7 linked regions of the Coturnix japonica genome follow. The protein of the gene in region 1 interacts with the protein of each later gene in a biochemical or structural test. Links are inferred from orthologs where the notes say so. Each region holds a gene or a part of one and is shown in the gene's direction. Other genes may lie near its edges. The genes, in order: RPS6KA1, HTRA1, PDZRN3, SNTA1, MAGI2, SLC9A3R2 and PDZRN4.

Region 1 (3,500 bases):
CCAGCCTTTCTTGCCACTAATGACTTGTTTTCTTCTTCCTTGCTGTAGCATCCTCCTGGATGAAGAAGGACACATCAAACTCACAGGTGAGGTGCTCCATAAAAACCTTGGTTCTTGAAACATGGAACTTCTCTCAGACCTCTCTGCTCAAGGCCATTGTGAAGACCAGGTGGTTTTTTAGACCATGCTGATGGTTTTTCTCTTTCGTAGATTTTGGCTTGAGTAAGGAAGCGATAGACCATGAGAAGAAAGCCTACTCCTTCTGCGGGACAGTGGAATATATGGCCCCAGAGGTTGTGAACCGTCAGGGCCACTCCCACAGTGCGGACTGGTGGTCCTATGGGGTGTTGATGGTAGGTACCAACTGGTGGGCTTGGAAACCTCAGCATCTGCTCAGGGGTTAGCTATGAAATGCCATTTGGTGACTCTGCATCCAGCAGATGTGCTGGTGCCAGTGTCAGCCCTGGAGCAGGCTGTTGGTTGCTGTGCAGATCTGGTGCCACCATCTGGCAGCTGCTGGATCCAAGGGCTGTGGCAGGAGCAGACACTGCTGGAACATATCCCCACTACACAATGTGATATACAGCTCCCTTCTGAGAATGTAATGCCTGCTCTCTTTTTCCAGAGCCAGGCTTTTGATCACTTGCAAGGCTTCTGCCAGCTGTGGAGAATTCCCAGATGAAGGTGTAATGAGATCTGTGCAGCCCTCAGACTTGTTTATATATGTGACCTCCCCTTGTTGTCTCTTTGTCTCAGTTTGAGATGCTCACTGGCTCGCTGCCGTTCCAGGGGAAGGACCGCAAGGAGACGATGACCCTCATCCTTAAGTAAGAGGAGATTTCATGTGTGTATAGAGACAAGCGTGCTGCTCTTTCTCTAAGCATGCTGCAGTTGGGGTTCTCACAACATAATGCCATTACTTGGCAGGTAGCTTTGTATCAACACTCAGTTTGAAGGCTGCAGTACAAAATGCCAAACAGATTGTTGTTTCAGGGGTGGAGGTGCTGCTTGTGGGTTGGCTTCTTTATACCTGCAGCTGATTGCATAACTTCTTCCCTAGAGCAAAACTGGGCATGCCTCAGTTCCTGAGCGCTGAGGCACAGAGCCTCCTTCGAGCCCTTTTCAAAAGGAACCCAGCCAACAGATTAGGTAAGGCATTTTTTGTTTCTGAATCCACCTGATGCTGTAGCTGTGCCTCTCACATCACAGTGGGTTGGCAGCATGCTGGCACTTGTGCTAAGTTAATAGGTTCTCCATAATACATGGTTATGTTGCATGCTTGGTGATAGCCTTCGCTTTGTTGCTGATCCTGATTAAATGTTAAGCAGTCTGCGGGTGGATCTTTCAGGTTCTGGTCCAGATGGGGCAGAAGAGATAAAGCGTCATCCGTTCTACTCTACTATTGACTGGAATGTGAGTATCAGAAACGCAAAAGCAATTTTCACCCCATTCAGCACAGTGATGCAGCTCTGCTGACCTCAGTGGTGCCACCTGCAGTCTGACCAGCTGAGGGAGTGCTACCAACCCATGTTTCCATCTTTCCTAATTGTCCTTCCCGAAACCAAACTGCTGTTAGTCATGCAAGATACTGTTTCATACTGAGTTGCTGGTGACCTCACCCTGGTTTGAGCTCTCAGAACTAAGGTGCAGGTTTTAATTGAGGTTTGGCGCAAGGATTGCCTTGCACAGAGTAGGAAGGGCTCAGGTAAACAGCTGCATTGTACCCTGCAGAGAAGCAGGGCAATAGCTGAACCTACATTTCCCTGCATTATACATAGAACTTTTTTTTTATTTATTTACTTTTTTTCTTGATTAATATATGATAGGTGGTAGAAACCTAAAGAATTTCTCCACAAACGGACTGAAAGGCGCTCTCTTGGCCAGGAGGCCATCCCTCCCACTGCTGAACTGCAGTCACAACACTGTTTCTAGTGTTGTAAATTTTCTTCCCAGCCTCTCATTCCTAGCAGCTATTTGCACGCTTCTGAGCACATTCAGCTATTCCAGGACTTCCATATACTACCTGTATTTTGCAGAAGCTGTACCGAAGGGAAATCAAGCCACCCTTCAAGCCTGCTGTAGGTCAGCCTGATGACACCTTTTATTTTGATACAGAATTTACATCGCGTACACCAAAAGGTTGGTATGAATTTATGAATTCAGCTGAAGCCTGTGTGAAATAGTACAGCTTAATCCTGCCTTGCCTTTGCCATCAGGGTAAAGGTTTGCCTCCTCCTGGCTACTTTAGGGAGGAGTCCCAGCCATACACAGGGTGTTACTGGTAGCTTGGTGCTGCATCATATTGCTCTTGTCTGAGCACAGCCATGAGGGGAAGGCTTCTGCTTCCGCTGCTGCTCCTTTTCAAGTTTTCCTTCAACTCCTGTTGCAGATTCCCCAGGCATCCCTCCCAGTGCAGGTGCACATCAGCTCTTCCGCGGATTCAGCTTTGTGGCCACCGGTCTGATGGAAGACAGCAAGGTGAAACCTGCACAGCCCCCCCTGCATTCCGTGGTGCAGGTGAGACATGGGGATGGAAGAACATCTGCTTTGAGACTGCAGTAACTCCAGAGTGGGTCTTCAGGAGTTAAAGGAAAGATATTCTGGTTCGAATTCTTGCATCCTGATTTCTTTTGCTCTTACTGACTGTCATGCAGAGGTCAGCAGAGCACACTGAGTGTTTGCCTCCTTCTTGCCAGGTGGACTCAGGCTATGTGAATGAGAGGTGCTGCAGGAATGCAGTGTGCTGGATGCAGATTGTGTTAGCCTACTGACCTATATTTGCCGTGTTCTCCTCTCCTCTGTCTCCCCAGGAGGGAGGAGAGGATGTGGGATGTAGCAGACAGCAGTCTATCACTTCACTTGGTGTTGCAGTTAACTCGTTGCACAAACCATTCCCTGAACCCTCCCAGCTCATTCGCTCCCTGCTCTCTTCTTGCAGCAGCTGCATGGCAAGAACATCCAGTTCAGTGATGGCTACGTGGTGAAGGAGGCGATTGGTGTGGGCTCCTACTCAGTGTGCAAACGGTGCATTCACAAAACAACCAACATGGAGTATGCAGTCAAGGTCTGAGATATTCAGTCTGACCTCCCTTGTTAGATTTCTGTTCATCCCTGTAATGACCAAAATAATAACAAGGAATGAAATTGTTTTCCCTGACTGTGGGACTTAAATATACAATTTTGGGGCAAATGACAAGGAATGGATATAGCACAGTATGTCTGCAGTGCACTGGCACAGGCTGCTTAGAAGAGCTGTGGGTTCTCCATCCCCAGAAGTGCCCAAGGCCAGGCTGGATGGGGCCCTGGGCAGCCTGACTGGGTGGGGGGCAAGCAGCCCACAGCAGGGGTTGGAACTGGATGGTGGTTGTGATTTATCCCAGCAGGTGGCTGTGCACCACACAATCTGTTGCTCACTGGCCCCTTTCCCAGTGAGATAGGGGAGAGAATCAGAAAGAAAAAAAAAAAAAAAAAAAAACTCGTGAGTTGAGATGAAACGATTT
Region 2 (3,500 bases), on another chromosome or scaffold:
CAGGACATACTAAATGCTGCCTTGCCTTTTTGCTCTGTAAGCACACTGTCTGCTTTTACAATCCCCTACACTTTTTAGGCCTGTAAGTTGCATGTTTTGGAATAAATACAGGCTAAAAAGGCACTTCTGCTGGCTTCCAAGAAGACATAAATGGCAACAAGAATAACTATTAAGCCAATTTGTACCTTCATTTTAGGGACAAAGCTGAGGAATATCTTGAAGATATCCCTTTTATATTAGAAGTTACCCACTTCTTGGAAACTGGGTTTGGGTTAATCCATATGTGGGGCATTTACTGCATCTAGGAGCAGTCACCTATTTTGGAAGTTTGTATTAATGCCTTGTATTTTGGAGGCTGAGCTTGTTGTGCAAAGGAAAGGATTTTTTCAGCTGGATGGGCATAGAGGAAACCTATCTTATAATTTAAATCTACCAAGCAAATGATCTGTCCTGGGAGACTTCTGTTTTCATCTGGAGGTCATGTACCTCTCAAATCCTGCAAGATGCTTAAACTGAAGCCTCAAATGATGCATGTCCTAATCCACTGGTAGTAATGATAATGATCTGGTGTCGTGGTAGTCAGGATCATTTAGACAGCAGGTTAAACATGAAACAGTTAAAAATATGTAACACCGTTGAAACAGTGAAGACTTGGCTTTTAAAAACATGAAGCAAACCCAAGGCATGTTGTGCAGGTGGATGATGCATCAGTGCAGAACATTTCTTTGATATACAGACTGTTTCAGAATGCCCTTAATTACTCAGTGAGCAGGGGAACTTCGCTGCCACTATCTGCTCACTGCTCTCAGGGGACTTACTGGTCTTGTTTGAACCATCTGCTGCCCAACCTCTTCAGATGTCCTGGAGAAACGATGCTCAGTTTATCCACTGCATTGATAGGGGTGTTAGGTTCAGCCGTTGCTTTTTTGTTTCCTTCTTTTTTAATTGCTGTAAATTGCAGCGCTCTGTGTTGATGCTGGATTTAGGAATGTTTTCTGTCTCGGAGGGGAAAGTCTTTAATTATGTGATAGTTCATGTTTCAAGATAAGATCTTGAAAGGAAAGAATAATGGCATCCCTTACTGTCATAAAAAGAAAATACTAGGAAGTCTTTAAATCCTCACATCTTCACAAGACACCTAGATACGTGGGAGGTAATCTAGTTGTCTACTGAACAATAGATGAAACGTTAGTTCATGTCTTATGGGAATATGAAATGCTTTTAACTACATGCATGTTTGTTTGATACGCCCTGGCTGTTGCTTTCATGACTCCCTCTAGAATTCACTCTTAAGGAATATATTATTTTTACATCAACAGCTGTTGGCTAATTACTTCAAGAAGCTGTTGGGAACAGCTCCTTCCTGGTATCGCCAAATGTTTGCTTTGTACAGCAATACACAAATATTCCTTTGGTCTTCATTTGTTTTTAATGGGGACCATTTGGTTTGAATGGGGACCTGTTGTGGAAAAAGCACTCTTCAAGTGTTTTTTTTTTTTCTTCTACTCCATTAAAGAACAGTTATTTCTCTTTGACCTGCATAGTAATGTCCTAATGGTGTATGAATTTTTCTTCTTTTCTTAATCTCCTTCCATTTGTAGGGTAAATTGCCAGTCCTTCTGCTTGGTCAGTCTGGAGACTTGAGGCCGGGAGAGTTTGTGGTTGCCATTGGAAGTCCATTTTCCCTTCAAAACACGGTGACGACAGGGATTGTTAGCACCACGCAGCGCGGAGGAAAGGAGCTGGGGCTCCGCAACTCCGATATGGACTACATTCAGACGGACGCCATCATCAATGTATGTCCTGCCTTGAGCCTTGGCTCTTTGGGCTCTCAGATTTCTGGAATAGTTGCTTTGAAAGCTCCTCCAGTAATGCGGTTCTTAAGAACAGTGAGCATAGCTGGCTTTTCTTTCATCCTCGCAAATATGGACATCTGCGGTGCAGCAGTGCCTGATTGTTATTAAACCAAACCCCCAAAGGGACCACACCAAGTTCAATGGTTGCCTTCCCTTCAGCTTCTTACAGCCTGTAAGGGAGGAGGAGGCATTCTCTGCTGAATGAGTTTCTCCTCAAAATCTGTCATGCTTTCTAGAAAGAAGCCACGCTCAGCTTAAGAACTCAAGTTTGTTTCAGCATTAAGGCAGAACAATAGCTTTTGTCTACTGTTGGCCTTGTGAGGGATGTTTGCTTGCAGCTCCGAAGCCGTATTACAGTCTTCTATGCTGCCAGTCTGCTACTATTAAAACCAATGAGAAGTCCCAGTTTACTTAGGTTACTCTGGCAAGAGAAGGAGAATTGAAATGCAAAAAAAGGAGGGATGTTAAGTGCGTGTTAAGTAACGGTTTGGAGTCGTAAGTGTTTCACTGTGTATCTTTAATAGATAATGGAAAAACTGCTACAGAAACATTTCAAAAATCCCTTGAACATTTTGCTCATTATGAGTTAAGTGTGGATATTAAAACCTGCTTTTCCCATGTTTGTTTGCAGTATGGAAACTCTGGAGGACCCTTAGTAAACCTGGTAAGAGATTCTTTGTTTGCTTAGTGTGAAGCCTGTTACTTTCTGGTCTAAAAACAAAAACAAGAGCACCGCAAGTGTGATTCAGAGCTTTCAGTGTTTGCCCGGCTACACAAAATTCACATGGCTCTTACTAATCACTTGTCTGTGTTTTTGTTGTCAAATCACAAACTACGCCACGATTTCAATATGTAGGTGTTTACACTTTGCATAGTTTGGGCTACTTGTAATGCCCAAATAATTTGCCTGTGCTTTGCAAGAAAAGTAAGAAGTTCATTTTTAATGCGAGGTGTTTGCACTTGGTGTTTACCATGCAGCTGAAAATTCAGTTTCTTGCAAACTGAAGCTCAGTTTAATGGTTCAGAAATGTGTGCCCTCCTTTTATTTTGAAGCACGTTCACAGGGTAGGAAACCCCATGTGTTTATGAGCTCCTTAAGCTTTGTATGCTGGTTCTGTAGGAAGCAGTCAGCTTCCTTACAGCAGCTGTGGACGAGCTTAGAGGAGAACAGCAAAGCAGGGTGCAAAACCAGGTGGCTGTGCAGGAGCTCTGTCAGCCCTAGAAGGGGAATAGGAGCTTCTCAGAGGCTCTGTATTGGAAACTTGGCAACTTTTTTCTACTTGACTTGCAAAACAACTGCAGCTCTAGTAACCTGCCATTTAAAAGTTGTGGTTGGATAGTTTGCTCTTTCAATCCTGAGCCTTTTTCTGTCCTGGCCCCAGCACGTCAGTGCTTGCTAATGGGAAATCTACTGGCTGTGCTGGTGCACCTCTGTTTGGGGTGAAATCCTCCTTTGGCATGGAATGCTCTTACATGTGAGAGCTTATCCAGGAGTCATATTGCTGGGAAGAGCTTTTGGTTTTCCAAAACATTTAGAATACTTTTCGTATCAGTAGGTGATTCAGAGAAATTGGACGGAATTGTGGTTAGACTTGATGATCTTCAGAGTCTTTTCCAACTTGAGCAATTCTATGGTTCTATGAA
Region 3 (2,378 bases), on another chromosome or scaffold:
CAGGCATGAGCTCTCAGACATTACAGAGCTCCCAGAGAAGTCTGACAAGGATAGCTCAAGTGCATACAACACAGGTGAAAGCTGCCGAAGCACTCCGCTCACACTTGAGATTTCTCCTGACAATTCCTTGCGCAGAACTGCAGAAGGCATCAACTGTCAAGGTAATGAGGGAGCAGTGGCATATAATGTCTCCCAAAAGAATTTGTTTTCCAGCTCAGAAAGTCATGAATCCAGCACAGGTAAATGCCATTCATCTGCTAAAGATCCTGAGACGAGCAAACAGATGGAATGCAAGGAGAGAAAAGCCAGTGATGGAAGCAAAAGCCCTACTCATGGTCAGAAACCTTCTGGCTCTTATGTCTCCCCATACCACCACTCTCCATATAAGCATGCTCATATTCCTGCTCACGCACAGCACTATCAGAGCTACATGCAGCTGATCCAACAAAAATCAGCAGTGGAGTATGCACAGAGCCAAATGAGCCTGGTGAGTATGTGCAAAGACTTCAGTGCAAGTCAGAGTGAGCCGAGGATGGAGTGGAAAGTGAAGGTCCGAAGCGATGGAACCCGCTACATCACCAAGAGGCCAGTCAGGGACAGATTGCTGAGAGAACGAGCCATAAAGATTAAGGAAGAACGCAGTGGGATGACTACTGATGATGATGCCATAAGTGAAATGAAGATGGGCCGCTACTGGAGCAAAGAGGAGCGGAAGCAGCACTTGGTGCGAGCCAAGGAGCAGAGGAGGCGACGTGAGTTTATGATGCAGAGCAGGCTGGATTGTTTAAAGGAACAGCAAGGTGCAGAAGAAAAGAAAGAGGTGAATATCATTGAACTGAGCCACAAAAAAATGATGAAGAAAAGGAATAAAAAAATATTTGACAACTGGATGACAATCCAGGAACTGCTTACCCATGGAACAAAGTCACCAGATGGAACACGAGTGTACAATTCCTTCCTGTCAGTGACTACTGTATAATCACCATTGCTAAATTATGTACATAGAACGCTACCATTGGGGTAGGAATCAATGCCTCGTTCAATGTGGCAAGATTTTTGTATATAAGATACAGTCATCGAGTTTATAGTTCAAATACTGAACTCTACGACTGCGGGTGCCAGGATCTCCATTATAAAAATGGAGAGACTGTTTGCCCACCCCAGCTCCTTCAGAGGCAATATTAGCAGTGCTTTTTGGATACTGATTGTACTTTTTTACTTGTTACCTTTTACATAAAGTGTTTAAATATCAGAAATGTATTAACCATATTTACACAGGTAATTTGCTTAAACTATATTCATATAAAAAGGTACCCGTGCTCTTCTTTGTCTAAAAAAAAAAATGCAAAACCCCACAAGAGCAACCGCACATACGTATTTTTTTGTGAAACCATATTTTCTGATACTATTCTGCTGTTGTTCACTTCTACACTGAGTGCTGTTTATCTATATTTAGCTCAAGGTTTAAACTCAGAGTTACTGAATTCCTAATAGAGCCATTCTCTTGTAAGATTTAACATTTATCAAACTGCAGTTTTTAGTTACCATCAACATTTAAATATTGTTCTAAGGTTTATAAAGAAAGCATATAGGTTTCATCTGAAAAGCCTGAAGCAAAGAGAAGTGTACTGCGGCTTTAAAGATTTTAAAGCATGTTTGCAAACATTGCAACCTCTTGAAGAAAACGTGCATGTACAGCTGATTTGTTTATATAAGACAGTTTGTGGAATTTGAAAAGCCCATGGTAGTTACTGTTTGCTTTATAGATTTGAATGTATTGAATTATAAAAGCGGTTTCATTAAATCATCACTAGCTGCAAATGTTAACAAGTAAAATGAAGTAAAATAAATTATTGTTTTATATTTCAAACATTTTAATTTTATTTTTAACTCCCTTACTGTTGTGCCATGCTGAGCATCCTGTCCTAGAGCACAGCTCCCACGTGTGGGAGTCGAGCCTAATAGGAAGGACGGCATCCTGACCTTGAGGGAAGTCAGCACTGAGGTGATATGGAGGGAAGAGGCAAGAGAGAAGCAGGAATATGAAGAGTAAAAGTGTTTACTTCACAAGGTGTTCAGGATTACTTGTAAGCATAAAGAAAAGATAGGATTTCTACTCTTCTGTTTTGTTTCACAGTATCGTAATGGTGACTAACCTACAAACTTTAGCAAAGCTTTCCATTAAAAACAGACAAATTTGTAAGTTAAAGGAGATTGAGAAAAGGACAAAGGACAAAAAGTGAATTTCAAAGAGATACTTCACTCCTTTTCTTGTTTTCTGTTTCTAAACAAGAATTCAGAAATAAACTTGATTTTTTTTCTGGAGAAATAGCAAACTAGACTCATTATTAATAGCTCCAAGATTCTTCATCCCCTCT
Region 4 (4,087 bases), on another chromosome or scaffold:
GGGGATCCAGAGAGCAGAACCCAGACTGAGAAGGGAGAAACTCGGCCAGGAGTGACTGTGTCCCAAAGCAAAACATTTTAAAGTCAACTGGAGGAGTCGGAGACTGCACAGTTTGGGCAGACAACACCATTTCACTACATTTCCTGTATACCAGGGGATGAATCACTCGGTTAAGTACATGGTGCACATCTGAATCTCTTTTATTTCCCTGCCCATCCTCTCCAGTGCATTTGCAGCCTCTGATCTGTTTCAGCAAGGCAGGACCTGCTGCCCCATGCTCTCCTGAGGTGCTGCTGTCAGCCTTGGGGATGCCACTTCAGACCCAAACACGAGCTTTTCTTCTGTTTCAGAAGTGATTCATGTAAATTCACGCAGCTAACAGCGCTCTATAAATAGACGGGTGGGCTTTGACACAGCTCCTGTGTGTGCCAAGAGCTGAAGCTAATAATAGCAGCTCACCCACCACGTCCGGGAGCGGGGATGTTCTGCAGGGGGAGGATGGGATGGGCTCAGCCTTGTGACAGAATCACAGTGAAGATATCACCATCCCACGGGCACTGCAGCACCTCTGTGCCATGATGTGGGGCTGCACACATGGCCTTGCTGCCCAGCAGTGTGGCATGGCACAAGGTTTCCCCCTGTGTGGCACTGCTCTGCTTCCCACTGCTGCTTTGCATAGTGCTGCCAGGGCTGGGGAAGCAAACATATCACATATCCCTGGATGGTGCCATCCTGTGGCACTGGGAGCAGTGTCTCTGCTTTCTGACGTGGCTTACAATGAGAATACAGCCTTAATAATCACCTGTGCTGGAAATAGCATTGGAAAGAAAAAAGACTGCGAGTGGCAAGGGGCAAAGTGACCCCAACTGGCAGCAAAAGGACTGAACCCCCTCTGCTATGGGCACAGCAGCTCAGGGTCTGTGGGATGCACAGAGGACTGGGGGGGGGGAGGGGGGGGTGTGATGGGCGTGGGAGCATCACTGTTAGGCAAACCCAAAAAGTCACTCCAATCGAACTGCAGAATTTGGATTGAAAACTGGAATATCTGAGCTGTGCTTTGCAAGGGAAAAACCTTCAGGGTTTCCTCTGCCGCAATCTCAAGAAATTCCACAGCTGCCTCTGCGTGGGGGGAGCGCTGCTGCCTCCGTGTGGGGGTGGGGAGGGCTGCAGCCCCCTGCTCTGCAATACCCCCCCCACCTCCCCTTGTGCGTGAACGGGATTCAATTCCTTTAAGGCTGCGTTTGCAGAGCCTGGGGCTTGGGGACCTGCAGCCCCACCCCAGGGCTCTGGAGCTGCCCGAAGGGGCACAGGGGATGTACCCAGAGGTATTTTTTATCCCTCATTGCTGCCACTCGGTTGCAGGAGGAAATGCGGATCTGCCAAAGGAAACAAACACCGTTCCTGTTTTCAAGAAGCAGGACAGGGAAAGGAAAGAAAAAAAGCAAGACTGTTCTGAATGCCTCCAAAAATCCTCCCTGCTGCTGTCTGCACCCATCTTTGGGGCACCGACGTCGTCGGACGCCAGTGGGAGAGCTCTTGAGGCTGCCCCCCACCGCCCCCAAGAGCTGCCATTGCTTTTCATCATCGCAGTTTTCCTTAATAAGTCCAGAGTTCGCTTCGAGTCACTTCTGGCTCTGCCTGACAGCGCTGCTCGCTTCCACGACAGCAGTTACTCGTGTACCCCGCAGCACGCCCGAAGCTTTCGTGGCACCCGGTTCTCGGCACGGACACCGCTGCGCCCCGACGTGCCCCGCAGGGTCCCCCTGTGACACAACCGCACCGCGGTGCCCGGAGCCGGGAGGGTCCGAGTGAGGGTGTGCAGAGCTCCCCATGCCCCTCCCGGCGCTCCCCGTCCCATACTCGGGCACGGAGCCCCGCAGCGCGGCGCTGCCCCGACGGGGCGGGCGTGGGCCGGGCCGGGGGCGGTGCGCGGGGCTCGTTGCTCCGCCGGGCGGTGCGCGGGGCAGCGCGGAGCGGAGCTGCCGGAGCGGCGGGGCCGGGCCCGGCATGCGCGGAAGATGGCGGCGGGCAGGCGAGGGGCGCGCAGCGGGCTGCTGGAGCTGCGCGGTCCCGGCGGACAGTGGCTTCGCGTCCTGCTCACCCTGAGCGATGACACCCTGAGCGTCAGCCCCGCCGACGGCCCCGGGCCCGGGGAGCCTCCGCCGGCTCAGCTGAACGGAGGGGAGCAGAGCTCCGGCGTGCCCGAGGCGCTCGCCAACATCAGGCGCACGGTGCGCGTCGTCAAACAGGACGTGGGGGGGCTCGGCATCAGCATCAAAGGTGAGGGGGGGGGAGTACCAGGAGTGGGCGGCGGCGGCGGCAGGTAGGACCTACGCTGCCCTGCTGCGACCGGAGGGCTCCGCCCGCGTGTCCTTGCGTCCTGCGTGACCCCGGTGCGGTGTCCCCTCCTGGCCGCCCCAAACGCAGCGCTCTGCCCCGGTCGGGTGTCCCCCGGTGTCCCCCGCCGCCCCCACCCCCGTCCTGGGGACTTTGCGGGAACTTCGGGCCGGGAACTTCGCGAGGGGGGGTGCGGGGGGCTGCCGCTGTCTGACGTGGCCGCATTGGGCTCAGCCTTCACCGCGCTCCTTGCCGGGCGCTGCTGGGTGGGGCGGTGTGTCGGGTGCGGGTCCCCGTGAGGGGTCCGGGGTGAGCCCTCACCGCTTGTTGGGGCTGTGGGTGCTGCAGCTCGGCAGCGCTTTTGGGAGGTGCAATCCCCCCTTGTAACCAACCCCGGGCTGCGAAGCGCTGCCGGCTCTGCGGCTCTCCCAGGAAAGGAGAAACGTTACTTGCTTCAGCTAAACTTTATTTTTGCAGTGACGTAGGTGGAAACCAAGGAGCCGTGATCCAAACGGGGAGCTGCAGGCGGGCGGGCAGCACTTGGGCTGCCTTGTGCCTCTGCTGCTTTGCAGGGGGGTGACCATGTGCCATTAAACGCAGCCAAACCTTGCTGTCCCTGCAGGGGGTGGGGGCATGGAGGGACGGGTACCCCGCTGCCAGCCAGCTCCTGTCCATGGCCCGTGGGACAGAATCTAAAATGGACCTTCTGGTTAAAGCATTTCAGCTGCATCCTAACCCCAGACAGTACTTCACTTGGGGTTTCTGGTGCTTCATGCAGCCCTGCAGGGTTAGGGTTAGCATCGTTAGGGTTAGGGTTAGGATCCTTCTCCTGCAGGGTCGTGTACCGCATGGTGCTCCGGGCGGTGGTTCCCTCTCCACGCACACAGCCCAGAATGGGTGGTTGCGAGGCGTTGCTTCCAAGCTGGGCTCGGCAGCCAGCAGCAGCCCCCGCGGGGGCCTCTTGACAGCTGATAGCCGGAGGAGCCCTCAGCTCCCGGAGAGGCTCTGCAGAAATCCGAGCGGAGCAATGCTGGCGGCACAGCGGGTGCAGCCCTGGGAGGTGTCACGCTGCCGGTCCCTGCCCGTGGGAGGGGGGTAGGGGGGAGTGAGGGGGTGCCCGGCACACGCTGTCCCAGCGCTGAGCGTGGGCAGCGCCAGGCGGGGCTGCTGGCATCTCCTACAGGTTCAGAACTTAAAGTGCAAATTGATCTCCTTGAGCTGCCCGGAGGCCTTGAGAGTGTCCTGGTGGGCTGAAGAGTGGGGAGCAGCCCGAATGGAGACAGAGAGGAGTGGGGAGCAGGTAGTCCTGCGGCTGAGCTGCTGCTCTGGGGCTCTTTTGCCTCTCCAGCACTCAGCTGCTGCCCCACTGAGACCGTGGGGTCCTGAGAGCAGGGAAGGCTGCTCAGCACACACAGTTAATAATGCAAATAGTGACACAGTTTCCTGCCAGAAGTGATGGGGAGGCGGTCAGGGCGTGTGTTTGTTCAGCAAGGAAATCTGCAGCCACTCGGATGGTTTTTTGAAGCACTTAACATGTGTCTGCCATAAAGCTCTGAGGTATTTGGGCACTGTGTGGGCACTGAGCAGCCCTGTGCCCCTAATTGCTCAGTGTCCCCTCACTGCTTGGTGCCCCTTCTGCCCGCAGGTGGCCGGGAGAACAAGATGCCCATCCTCATCTCCAAGATCTTCAAGGGACTGGCAGCAGACCAGACCGAGGCACTGTATGTGGGAGATGCCATCCTGTCCGTGA
Region 5 (3,500 bases), on another chromosome or scaffold:
ACCCTGCAAGAATTGTGGGGCCATAAACACTGCAATATTATATCTATTTAGAAAAAATATGAGACAGAATTCAATGATGACCTTATCTGAGCTACAAATTCTTGTCAATTAGTATATGCTTGTGGGGACATGTTTATAGATGGCAGAAAGTCTTTCTCATTTGTCCTCGGAGACAGCACTGATATTGCCCAGCAAAGAAATACATTATACAGCTAGAAAAGAGGCAATTTGATTTCATGAGCGCATCGTTATTATTTTAAGAATAATTTAACGTAGGCAGAGAAAAGCAGAACCTATATAAAAAAAGACCGAGGTTTTCAGTGTGTGCAGTACCAGCCCCGTGGTTTTTACTTTCTCCTGGGCTTTTTATTTATTTGGGGGAGAGTGGGACTGTTTTATTTTCATAGAATCATAGAACAGCTTGGGTTGGAACAGTTGTTAAAGCCCCCCACAGTTCCAGCCCCCCATCTGAGGCTGCCCTGGGTCGCATCCCACCTGGCCTTGAGCACCTCCAGAGATGGGCACCCACAGCTCTCTGGGCAGCTGCGCCAGGGCCTCATTGCCCTCTGAGTAAAGAGTTCCCTCCCCATTGACCTCACTGGGAGTCTCACTTCCCCTGAAAGACTGAGGAGTCTGATTCTCAAGCGTGATTCGGGTGTTCATGTTGCTTTGTGTGTGATGTGCATGACATGCTGAGCACACCCTGACGCCTTCTCTCTGTTGCCATCACAGACGAGCCAAGCTCCTGGAGCGCTCCCGCTGCCGCCTCCCCAGGTCTGCCGGAAGTAGCTCTGTCCCTCGACGACATAATCTCACCATTATCCTCATCACACATAGCCCCACCCTCTGACCCTTCTCACCAGATATGCCCAGAACCAACATGGGATATCAAGAGGGAACACGATGGAAGGAAACCAAAGGAGCTTTCGGTGAACGGCCACAAAAAGAAAAGGGTAGGAGAGCAAAGAGAAAGGTCAGCAAGTCCTAAAAAGGCAGACAGGTCAAAGCACGACGAGCCTTCTTGGAAAGGATATTCAGAAGGCAAAACTAAGGTGACAGATGGTGGCAGGCTCACCTCGGAAAGCAGAGCGGTGGGACACAGCGTTATGATGGAGGCTGGCGTGAGAGAGCACATGTGTGCTGGAAGCAGTGATGAACAGTTTGGGAGGCTGAAGAAGCCGGAAAGCAAGAGGGGAGGATCTCTTAGCAAAAAAGAAGATCACAGATCCACAAATACCAGTGAGAAGAAGTCAGCTGCAGCACCTGACCATGCCAAGCTTGATGCAGGTGCTACCAAGACATACAGTAGCAATCGCTGCAGCTCGCCTGGAAGCGATATGGATCACAGCCAGAGGGATCCTGATGGGAAACCCAGTGAGTTCCCCAGGAAGGGACATCTCCACCCCATTAGCACTCGCAGCACCAACACTACAGTTCGAAAGGCAACGGTCTCCCCGGGACCGTGGAAAATCCCCGGCTCAGATAAGCTACCTGGCGTCCTGAAGTCTGGCACTTCTGCCATGAGCAGATAAGCACGGGACTGTTGCCCTCTAACTGTCTCAAATTGACGCAGAACATTCTTCTTAGTTGTTGTCTCACGTTGATTTATTTTAATTTATTTTAACTATCACACATATACACAAAGCATTGAGGGATGAAAACATTAGTCTGTAACTCCATGACAATGTGCACAGTATCTAATAAGTTCAAAAGCATATAGTCAACACGGAGATTTGAAATTGACCCTAAAGTCCCAGTTCCATTTTAGGGACTTTGGCAGCTATGGAAGAAACCAAAACAATATGAAGGACAGTACATCAGAGAAGGATAGTGCAGTGTAGCTTTAGCATTTTTTTCCACTGCATGAAGGACTTGGATTTCATTCAAACTTTATATCAAGAAACTGGAACAAGTTAGAGCAATCGCAAACTGGAACATCGCCTTAAATAAAACTGCACGGAGCAAGCTGAAACTGAGAGAGAATCTTTTCATGGAGCTAAAATGTTGTAAATAAATTGTTCTTGACATATCTAGACAGGGGTTAAAGGGTTTCTTTGAAGCATTTGGAACTGTACGCCCATGACACGTCTCCACTGTCACCGCTTTGGGATAGTCCACGTGATACCCTGTAGCACAGTTCGCTGGATGCTACAGGAGGAGTTGGGAATCTAGTGGATTAGTTTCTGTGATACCATCTCTACTGCCATTTTTGTGAACCAACCATGTTTCTGTACATTGGAAAGGAGTTAGGGTGGAGTTGTATTTGCAAATTATTCTCCAAAGCAATTTACTACACGTTCCCCAAATCCTGCACAGTAGCACACAAGCCAGTTGGCCAGGCTCAAAATTTCAACATCCCCGAGGCCCTTGCAATGTATGGAAGATTGCTACAGAGAAAAAGCTGCAGTTTCCTTAAGGAAAGGCCTTCCCATTCTGCAGGAAATGAGTTTCACTCATCAACAGTGCTATGTTCCATACCCACCCCCATTTCGTTAGGATGCTCTCATCTTCCATTCCCTCACTTAGGCAGAGTAGGTGTCTTTGAGGCACGTAACAATTATTAAATGGAAATACACTTTTTGGTGCCCTCAATTAGTAAATTCGATATATTTCCATTTTTAAAATGGTTTACATTTTATCATTTCTTCCTTACCTCCATTTTTTTTCTTTTTTCTTCTTCTTTTTTTTTTTTTTTTCTTTTGATTTTAGTCTTTCTTGCTTGTCTGTTTTGAATTTCAAGCCTTAAGTGCCAGGTAAACATTCCAGTCTGCCTTCACAGGAGATAAGTCTAAGTTCAGTCAGTCAGTCACTCTCTTGGTTCAAAAAGATACATGTGTGTACCTATGAGTGTGCATATGCTTCTTTGTCTGTCAGAATTGAAAAAAAAATAAACAAATACAAAATCCTGGGCAATAACACATTGGTGATTAAAAACAACAATGATGCAGTCAACAGTTCGTATTCCAAAATGATTGTTCTTGAGCAATCTTAGTTCCTCATGCGCTCTGCTGAAACGTTAGATTGAGATTGTCTTTGTTCCAAGGAATCAGCACATAGCTGTATGTCTCAAACATCGCACTGGACTGAGAAATCTATAGGCATGTTTCTTCCTGTCCAATTATCTGAAACGCCTCAAGTAAAGGATTTTGCAGCTTTCAAAGAATTCTTCTTTTTTTTTTTTCTTTCTTTCTTTTTCTTTCTTTTCTTTTGGGGAAAAAGAAATTCTGTGTATAATTTCTGAAAAGCACAAGTCCACGTAGCTGTTTATAAAATGACTATTTAGTGAAAAAAGAAAAAAAAAAAGAAAAAAAAACAACAGAAAAAGAAAAACCCCAACAAATCTTTATCCCCTGAACTAGAATCGAATATAATTCCAATATAATTTGCCATTAATTTATTGAATCTGATTTTGGACAATGCTTCTGTAGTGTAGATGCATGTCCTGGTATCTTATTTTTATGTATAAAGAAAGCAAACAATGAAATCTGAAAAAAACAGTG
Region 6 (3,500 bases), on another chromosome or scaffold:
GTTGGATCTGTGTGACTTTTCTCCTTGACAGTAGTGAGAACTACTGTGCTGCAATAGGGCCTGCGGGACCCAAACTGTAGGGCCTGAGAAGGAGGGAGGGATGTGCAGGACTCTGCCATTGCTTTTCCTGCATGCTTCCCCACATTGCTGCCCACCTGCAACCCCTGTTCCTGCACATCAGCTGTCTGTTCCCAGTTCCCTTCTGGAGGTGTGCCCTGGTACAGGTGCTGCTCTGACAGTGTCAGTGGCATCGCCTGGTGTTGCACAGAAATGGATCTGAGAAGGAGCAGATGGGTTTTCCAGGGTTTGGTGGAGCAGCACCCTGCAGGCAGGTTATGGGTAGGAACCCTCCTGGTGCAGGGTGGTGGGCATTGGTGCTTGCTGGGTTGGTTTGCTCGGCACACACAGCCATGTCTGCAATCTATAAATTTTGTCTTGGTGGTTTTTTATTTTTTTCATTTGCAGATACTGGCTCTGCTGACCTTGAATGGAGCTTGCAGGGGAGTAAATAAACGCTGGCTAATTGCACATTAGGCTCGTTTGTCACTTCTAACCTTGGCAGTTGCAGTATCTGGCTGGCCTGACCTAGATAGGGCAGGAGCTGTAAGGAACCCTGTGCTGCTTCAGGGTTTCCCCAGCACACATAGGGTGTCACAGGGCCATGAGTGCTGGCAGTGTCCCCCTGCAGCTGGGGAGAGTGGTAGAGCTGCATTGCCAGTGGTACTGTCTTCCTCTTTGGAATGAGGGCCTGTGCAGGCAGCAGGTGATGCCCTGTGGGATACCACCCTGAGGCTGCAGGCAGGGGGTTCTGGAGTCTTTTTCTGCCTTCTTCCCTCATATATCCACAGTTATTCCCTATTCCTACCCTGCCCTGCTGTGCTGGACTCATGTGCTTGCTTGACTGCCCTAGAGCTGAGCACAGCTCTCTACTTTCCCACGTGTGAGCTGCCCCGTGCTCCCCTTCCTCCCTGCTGGGCTGACACCGCCAGCTCCTTTCAGAGGATCTGCAGTCACACAAAAAAACGTGAAAAAGTGAGGCTGTGTGAGGACAATGGTCCCTTTCAGCCATGCCTGGAGCTGGAGACCAGCAGGGATGGGCTCATCTCCTGGTGCTGGTTTCCCTTATCTCTGCTGTCCTGTCACGCAGGGGGATGAATGCACGGATCAGATTGTTGCTTTTATAAATCTGCTTGGGAAGGGGGGAGGTGGGAGGGGGGAAAGTGTCCAAATGGGAAGAGTGCAGCAAAGGCAGTTGAGACATTGCATTTGTGCTCTGGTTCTTGGTGCAACCCAGCTTTCCACCTTGAGTTCTCAGCTCTGTCCCTGGGTGTGGGGGGAGAAAGAAGTCTCAGGTAAAGGGGTGAGGGTTTGCAGGGCTGTTTATGTGGTAGAACTGCATGTCCCTTGTGAGGGATGAAGCTAGGCAGCAGGATTCAGGATGTGTGTTGTGTGATGGAACAGCAGGCTTGCAAGTGGAGCAGAGGGGATGATGTCCACCTGTGTGTATGCAGCTGCCATGGGCAGATCCATCATTTAGGTGGTGTTGGAAGGAATTGTCACTGTCACCCATGGCTGCAGGCTGTGCTATCTTGAAGGATCCCAAATCTCTGCCCTCCTCCCCTGTTGCCTATAGAAACAGTAATGAATGTGCACCGTGCAGTGAAATGGAAGCTGCAGGAGAGCACCAATGGGCAGAGGGGTCTGGAGATACAGCTCTCCAAGAACTGGGGAGTCTCTGGGCTTCTGCTCACTACTTCTCCTTCTCCTTTGCAGGTGGTGCAGCGTATCAAGGCAGTGGAGACAGAGACCCGCCTGCTGGTGGTGGACAAGGAGACAGATGAGTACCTGTGCAGCCTGCGCCTGACATGCACAGAGGAGATGGCACACAGTGGGATCCTGCTGGGCTCCAACATCTCACCCTCCAAGTCAGTGGGCAGCGACAACGGGGAGGTGTGGAAACCACAGCTGGAGCTGAGCGCAGGCAGCCTGCAGCGGCACTCACACAGCTTCTCCTCACACGGCAGCAGGAAGGTGAGGGCAGAGCTGGTGGCACAGCGTGGGGTTGGACAGCAGGATGCATCCCATTGCAAATGTGCTTCCCGTTAGCAAACCTTCTGTATGTGGCTCTGGGCGTCTCAGTGTGTCCCAAAGCTGTGGGTGAGCTGCACAAGGCCTTGTTTGCTCTGTTGGAAGCAGTGTTGGCTGCTCCTGGAGGAGCTACAGAGAGCTGAGGTGGGCACCCAGCCCCCTGGGGACAACCAGGCTGCCCTGGCTGATGTCCTTGTCCCTTGTTTGGGGACAGGCAGCACAGGCTGTGGATGTGGTGGAGCTGGACTCCTTAACTCAGTCCATTTCTTCTGTGTTACTTCTAGGATGGAGGGAACAGCTGGGTTGAATGTGTTCTCAGCTTTTGCTGGAATAGGAAGGAAATAAGCTCTTTTTCAAGTGGTCTGAGTCTGGGCTGTGATTTTGCAGTAAGCGCCTTTTATTGGTAAACTCCTTTTCAGCAAGGAAAGAATTTGAGGTGGAAGATGTCCAGTTTCCATGGCTGGCTCTCTGCTGGGAGGGCGGTGATGGCACAGCCTTGCACGCACAGATAGGCAGCACTCAGCCCCGGCACTGTCCATGCATGGGATGTGAACGTGGCAGCCACCACCATGCAGCTGACTGTCCCCACTTTAATCACTGAGGGGGTGAATCCTGCAGCCCCGTGGTGCTGCTTATAACCAGGCTGTGCAAGGCTTTCCCTGCTTCCAAATCCAGCTTTAGCACTCGTTGTCCTCAGGAGCCCTTGTGGGGTAACAGCTCAAGCAATTTCTGCATGGGGATAATGTGTAGGGCAGAAAGCAGAGTTATGCATGGGGTTCTGCCTCTGACCCTCCCCCCCTCATATGGAGTTGCTTGTGTCAGGCAGAGCTGTGCTGGTCCAGGGGGCTGCCCTTTCTGGGGGTGCTGGAGGATGGGCTGTGGTATGAAGGTGTTCAGAGAGCTCTGGGTGGCAATGGAGGTCAGTGTTGTGCTGCTCATAACCTCCCAGGGTGGCTGGTGGGACAGGAGAAAGAAACTGGAGAGAGGGGGGCTGCAGTGCAAACAGCCGTGCATGGCTTCCCAGGCTGGGGGTTTCCTATCCTGTCTCTGTTCCTTTTGCTGGGTGAAATCCAACAGTTTGTGCTGACGGGAAGTTGGGCGCGGAGAACGGGCTGGTCCCTTCCGGCCTTTGGGTTTCGGCTCCTCCAAGGAGAGGGTGGGACAGGGAGAACTGAGAAGGCAGGGGGGTGCAGTGGGAGGGAGTGCTTGAACCCCCCTGCAGAGGGGCTGTGGGGTTGGTGAGGGTAAGTGCATGGAGCAACTGCTGTATTTGAGGCTGGTGGTGCCAGAACCCATGCTGGTATCCAGCCAATGCAGGTCCCAAACAGGACATAGTGACCCATAGGGGCTTTGCCTTGGGGAGAGCTCAGGACAGAGCTGTTCCAGATAGATTCCATCCATGGGAGCCATGA
Region 7 (3,500 bases), on another chromosome or scaffold:
TCATTGTCCATACATTCACTACAAATGAGCTGATATTTGCCCTTTATTGTGTGTTGCTTTGTGGAAATAGAAACTAATGTGCCACTTTCATTTGTTTTCTAGATTAATGGGCAAGATGTCCAGAATCGCGAAGAGGCAGTGGCATTGCTCTCCAGTGATGAATGCAAGAAAATTGTGTTGCTGGTTGCAAGGCCAGAACTGCAGGTTAGAGTAAATACAGGATAACCTGGGTTATCCTGTACATTCACTGTCACCATAAGTAATGAACTGCTGGGAAGGAGGAATGCCAAAGTTCCTAACAAAAGGAGGAAAAAGATAGTTGCAGAGCTTTGGCCCTTTATAGCCAACAGAGGAAATAATGTGATGTTGCCAGGGCTTCTTTGCCCCAAGCTAAGCAGTTTTTTTTTCAGCAGACAAAATAAGCAGGTATACAAATAAAGCTGACAGGACTAACATGATATTAGTAAAATATGAAGTAGAACTTGAAAACCATATATTGCTTGTTTGATGATTCTTAGTTGCTCTGGGGATAAACTTCCCATGCTTATCTTAGTCGTTTATACGAGCTTACTCAAAGCTGTAGTTTTTCACTGGTGATGGCTCTTTTTTCTACGCACTTGTAAACAACTGTTCATTTATGTACCAGTTATGGAAATTTCGCTACAGTACCATTCAGCAGCTCTGGATCTAATTGTTTTCAAAGTACCCTGGTCACAAAAAAATGCTGGTACATTACAAATTGTATCTCAGGAGGTGCTTTTTCAAAAGCTTTTAATAATGTTTCAGTGGTGCTAAGAATAAAATTTTGCCATGCCAAGAATATTTTATATCATGGCAGGGGGAGGTGTTAAATTGATCATCAAACTAAAGGAGAGGTAGAGTGGAAGAAGAGTACTGTTTGTACTTGCCTTTATATGCTGTTTTTAAGCCACTGCAAAGCAAAAGAGACATTATATTGCCACTGTTCTCTCCATCTGTCAGCAGTTCAAACAAAGTTGGTTATGTTGCCATTTGTCTCTCATGCCATTGATCTGATATTTCTCAGTTTTGCTAGCTGCATACTCTGTTTAAATTAAATTGAGTAAGTGTAATTCAGTGCCACTTGGAATCTCTACTTCAATCCAGTAGTTACATAAGATTCACAATTTCAGGATTTATTTTCTTTATATTTTTCATCAATCTAAGCAATTCCCATAAAGATGATGACATAGTGTACAGCAAAAAACAGTAGTGTATATTGCGAAATTTTAGCTCACATTGGAAGTTGCTGAGGTTTTAAAGAGTTTTTTAAACTTTTTTTTTTTTTTTTTTTGCTTTTTCACTCAAATTTTGTTGTTCTGTAGGGAACAGAAACCTACCAACTAATAAAGCATATACTCAGGGAAAGTCTGTTCTCTGTATTTGTTTAGACTGGTGAATATTAGAAAAATTATATTGATATGACGTAAGGAATTACTTTCTCATAACATTATTGCTTCCTGTACTGATGCTCCTTCCATATCTTCCATGTCACAGGACACAGTGTTCTTTGGTTCTTTGCTGTTTGTTTGTTTGTTTGTTTTCATTGCTGTTGTTTCTTTTTAGTTTAATTTTTACATTCTGAGTACATATTTATGTAAAACAGAAGAAACAGCCATAGTATATCAGATGTCAGGCTGCTGCAAACCTATTTCAGCTAGCTGTTTTGCTTTGACTCTGGTAAAAGATAGCAGGATTAAGCAGGCTCTTATTTTCAGATAGAAATAAGTATTGTCAGTATTGCAGTCTTGAAGACTGACTGCTAAGTACATTCACTGGGCCACAGGGAAGAAAACCTTTTTTGGCCATTTATTTGTCTGGTGAATACTGATGGATAATTAAGTTTTGATGCATATCACCAAGGAGGCACCTAACCTGTTCAATATTGAAAGAAAGAGCATGAGCAATTAATTCACATGTGTTTAGGGCGCAGAATGAATGTAGTACCCATGTATGCTAAAGTAGAAATGATCTTTGTGCTAAAAGTGTATCTTAAGGATTCGCATTAAGTTAAATTTGCGGTCTGCCATGATCAAAGCAGCAGATTTACCCAAGTGAGATCCATCTTTCATCCTCCAGATTTTGTTATCTTTACAGTTTCCTCAAATGTGATAAATTAAGCTGCATTCTTCATACTAGAGAAGGACTGTGTTCCTGCTTTCCTTGGTAGAAAAAGCAAGTAAGAACAGTAAAGAAAACTAGTAGTCAATACTAGATGTTTCATAGAATGGTTTCTAAGTCTCATTAAGGACAAATATAAAAATTACATGCCCCCCACTCCAATGAAAAAAATAAAAACCTCCTTCATTCTAATTTCGGGCTGTTGAAAGCTGACTTTGCCAAGAAAAACTTCAGAAAGTTTATGTTTGTCAAAAGCATATTAGACTTTTTGAAAGAAACAGTGATACCTGACCAGCATTCAGGTGTAAGTACCACACAGCGCTAATCACTCTCAGTGTAGTTTTGAACTACCACTTGCTGATTTGGTTAAGTGTGCTTTGATGCAGTGGTAGCATTTCTGCTGTGGCCTGTGTTGCACTGATCTGGCTGCCTTGAAACATGAATAGTTGGTATTGTTGTCACTGTCTGGTGCTTAGGAATTTGTCGCCCTTTTGTCACAGTCCTCCTCCAGTTCTTTCACCAGTGACAAAACAATAAATATTGCCTTCTGCTTTTTTCCCACCATCACAGCCTTTACAAGAGTGTCACTGACTGGTATTTTCCCTTTCAGTGCAGTGCACCATCTGGTGAGGGATTACAAATACAAATGGACACACGCCATATACACATAAGCACAGTGAGCAAAATGGGAAGATAAGAATTTTAGAGCAGGGATGCTGGTTTTGTTAGTGTAGAAAGCTGTTAAGGGGGCTAATTAGATGTGGAGAGAGGGTATACTGACTAGATGAAGAATGCAACATTCCCTCCTATCCTTTTGCAAGATTGTCATCAAATGTCAAAGAATTACACTTAGGGAAAACACAGACAGATAAGGGTTGTTTCCAGGCACACTGTAAGGACAAATATAACTACCCTTCCAGTTGCCACATCTGCCTATTGCCATCTTCTCTATGTATGTTTTCCTTGAAGATCAATGGAGAAATTGCTGTAGAAATGCAATGCAAGGCTGTTATTGAGAGTGCAGCACTATGGTACAGCACTGGGGTGGAGGCTGTTGAGAGAAAGAACCCGGCTGTCTTGTGGCCCTATTAGTAATGATGCCGCTCTATCAGCGCTGGGGCTCTCAGCGGTAATGAACATGACAGCTTCAGGATTATGCACTGTGCCTTTCATACCTTTTGAAAAGAAAAAATGTCTGTGCTGTGCAGTCTCCTTCATTATGAAAGAAAATCAGTCATACTGTTTCAAGAAAGGATAAAAGGCATGAGAGTCCCATTTTTTATCTTTCTTTTTCTTCTTCCTTTTTTGAGAAGCAGACTCCTACCGCCTGGCTTTCTGAAGTGAATCATTATGATAAAAAG

The links.
Region 2: the proteins of RPS6KA1 (region 1) and HTRA1 interact in a test that uses a peptide from one of them, tested with the Homo sapiens proteins (2 studies listed by BioGRID and IntAct, with this or other methods). The link is inferred for Coturnix japonica from reciprocal best matches to the Homo sapiens genes RPS6KA1 and HTRA1.
Region 3: the proteins of RPS6KA1 (region 1) and PDZRN3 interact in a test that uses a peptide from one of them, tested with the Homo sapiens proteins (2 studies listed by BioGRID and IntAct, with this or other methods). The link is inferred for Coturnix japonica from reciprocal best matches to the Homo sapiens genes RPS6KA1 and PDZRN3.
Region 4: the proteins of RPS6KA1 (region 1) and SNTA1 interact in a test that uses a peptide from one of them, tested with the Homo sapiens proteins (2 studies listed by BioGRID and IntAct, with this or other methods). The link is inferred for Coturnix japonica from reciprocal best matches to the Homo sapiens genes RPS6KA1 and SNTA1.
Region 5: the proteins of RPS6KA1 (region 1) and MAGI2 interact in a test that uses a peptide from one of them, tested with the Homo sapiens proteins (2 studies listed by BioGRID and IntAct, with this or other methods). The link is inferred for Coturnix japonica from reciprocal best matches to the Homo sapiens genes RPS6KA1 and MAGI2.
Region 6: the proteins of RPS6KA1 (region 1) and SLC9A3R2 interact in a test that uses a peptide from one of them, tested with the Homo sapiens proteins (2 studies listed by BioGRID and IntAct). The link is inferred for Coturnix japonica from reciprocal best matches to the Homo sapiens genes RPS6KA1 and NHERF2.
Region 7: the proteins of RPS6KA1 (region 1) and PDZRN4 interact in a test that uses a peptide from one of them, tested with the Homo sapiens proteins (2 studies listed by BioGRID and IntAct, with this or other methods). The link is inferred for Coturnix japonica from reciprocal best matches to the Homo sapiens genes RPS6KA1 and PDZRN4.

Annotation. Positions count from the first base shown.
Region 1 is NC_029538.1:149,007-152,506, reverse strand, and holds part of RPS6KA1 (ribosomal protein S6 kinase alpha-1), read left to right. Parts: intron 1-48; coding exon 49-86; intron 87-210; coding exon 211-353; intron 354-756; coding exon 757-827; intron 828-1,060; coding exon 1,061-1,149; intron 1,150-1,348; coding exon 1,349-1,413; intron 1,414-2,036; coding exon 2,037-2,139; intron 2,140-2,389; coding exon 2,390-2,517; intron 2,518-2,938; coding exon 2,939-3,064; intron 3,065-3,500. UniProt on the Homo sapiens protein: Serine/threonine-protein kinase that acts downstream of ERK (MAPK1/ERK2 and MAPK3/ERK1) signaling and mediates mitogenic and stress-induced activation of the transcription factors CREB1, ETV1/ER81 and NR4A1/NUR77, regulates translation through RPS6 and EIF4B phosphorylation, and mediates cellular proliferation, survival, and differentiation by modulating mTOR signaling and repressing pro-apoptotic function of BAD and DAPK1.
Region 2 is NC_029521.1:27,879,462-27,882,961, forward strand, and holds part of HTRA1 (serine protease HTRA1), read left to right. Parts: intron 1-1,601; coding exon 1,602-1,796; intron 1,797-2,487; coding exon 2,488-2,520; intron 2,521-3,500. UniProt on the Homo sapiens protein: Serine protease with a variety of targets, including extracellular matrix proteins such as fibronectin. HTRA1-generated fibronectin fragments further induce synovial cells to up-regulate MMP1 and MMP3 production.
Region 3 is NC_029527.1:14,007,657-14,010,034, reverse strand, and holds the end of PDZRN3 (E3 ubiquitin-protein ligase PDZRN3), read left to right. Parts: coding exon 1-979; 3' UTR 980-1,878; downstream 1,879-2,378. UniProt on the Homo sapiens protein: E3 ubiquitin-protein ligase. Plays an important role in regulating the surface level of MUSK on myotubes. Mediates the ubiquitination of MUSK, promoting its endocytosis and lysosomal degradation. Might contribute to terminal myogenic differentiation.
Region 4 is NC_029535.1:2,063,197-2,067,283, forward strand, and holds the start of SNTA1 (alpha-1-syntrophin), read left to right. Parts: upstream 1-1,287; 5' UTR 1,288-2,018; coding exon 2,019-2,280; intron 2,281-3,982; coding exon 3,983-4,087. UniProt on the Homo sapiens protein: Adapter protein that binds to and probably organizes the subcellular localization of a variety of membrane proteins. May link various receptors to the actin cytoskeleton and the extracellular matrix via the dystrophin glycoprotein complex.
Region 5 is NC_029516.1:11,182,834-11,186,333, forward strand, and holds part of MAGI2 (membrane-associated guanylate kinase, WW and PDZ domain-containing protein 2), read left to right. Parts: intron 1-732; coding exon 733-1,532; 3' UTR 1,533-3,500. UniProt on the Homo sapiens protein: Seems to act as a scaffold molecule at synaptic junctions by assembling neurotransmitter receptors and cell adhesion proteins. Plays a role in nerve growth factor (NGF)-induced recruitment of RAPGEF2 to late endosomes and neurite outgrowth.
Region 6 is NC_029529.1:6,192,138-6,195,637, forward strand, and holds part of SLC9A3R2 (Na(+)/H(+) exchange regulatory cofactor NHE-RF2), read left to right. Parts: intron 1-1,773; coding exon 1,774-2,031; intron 2,032-3,500.
Region 7 is NC_029516.1:26,461,534-26,465,033, forward strand, and holds part of PDZRN4 (PDZ domain-containing RING finger protein 4), read left to right. Parts: intron 1-102; coding exon 103-204; intron 205-3,500.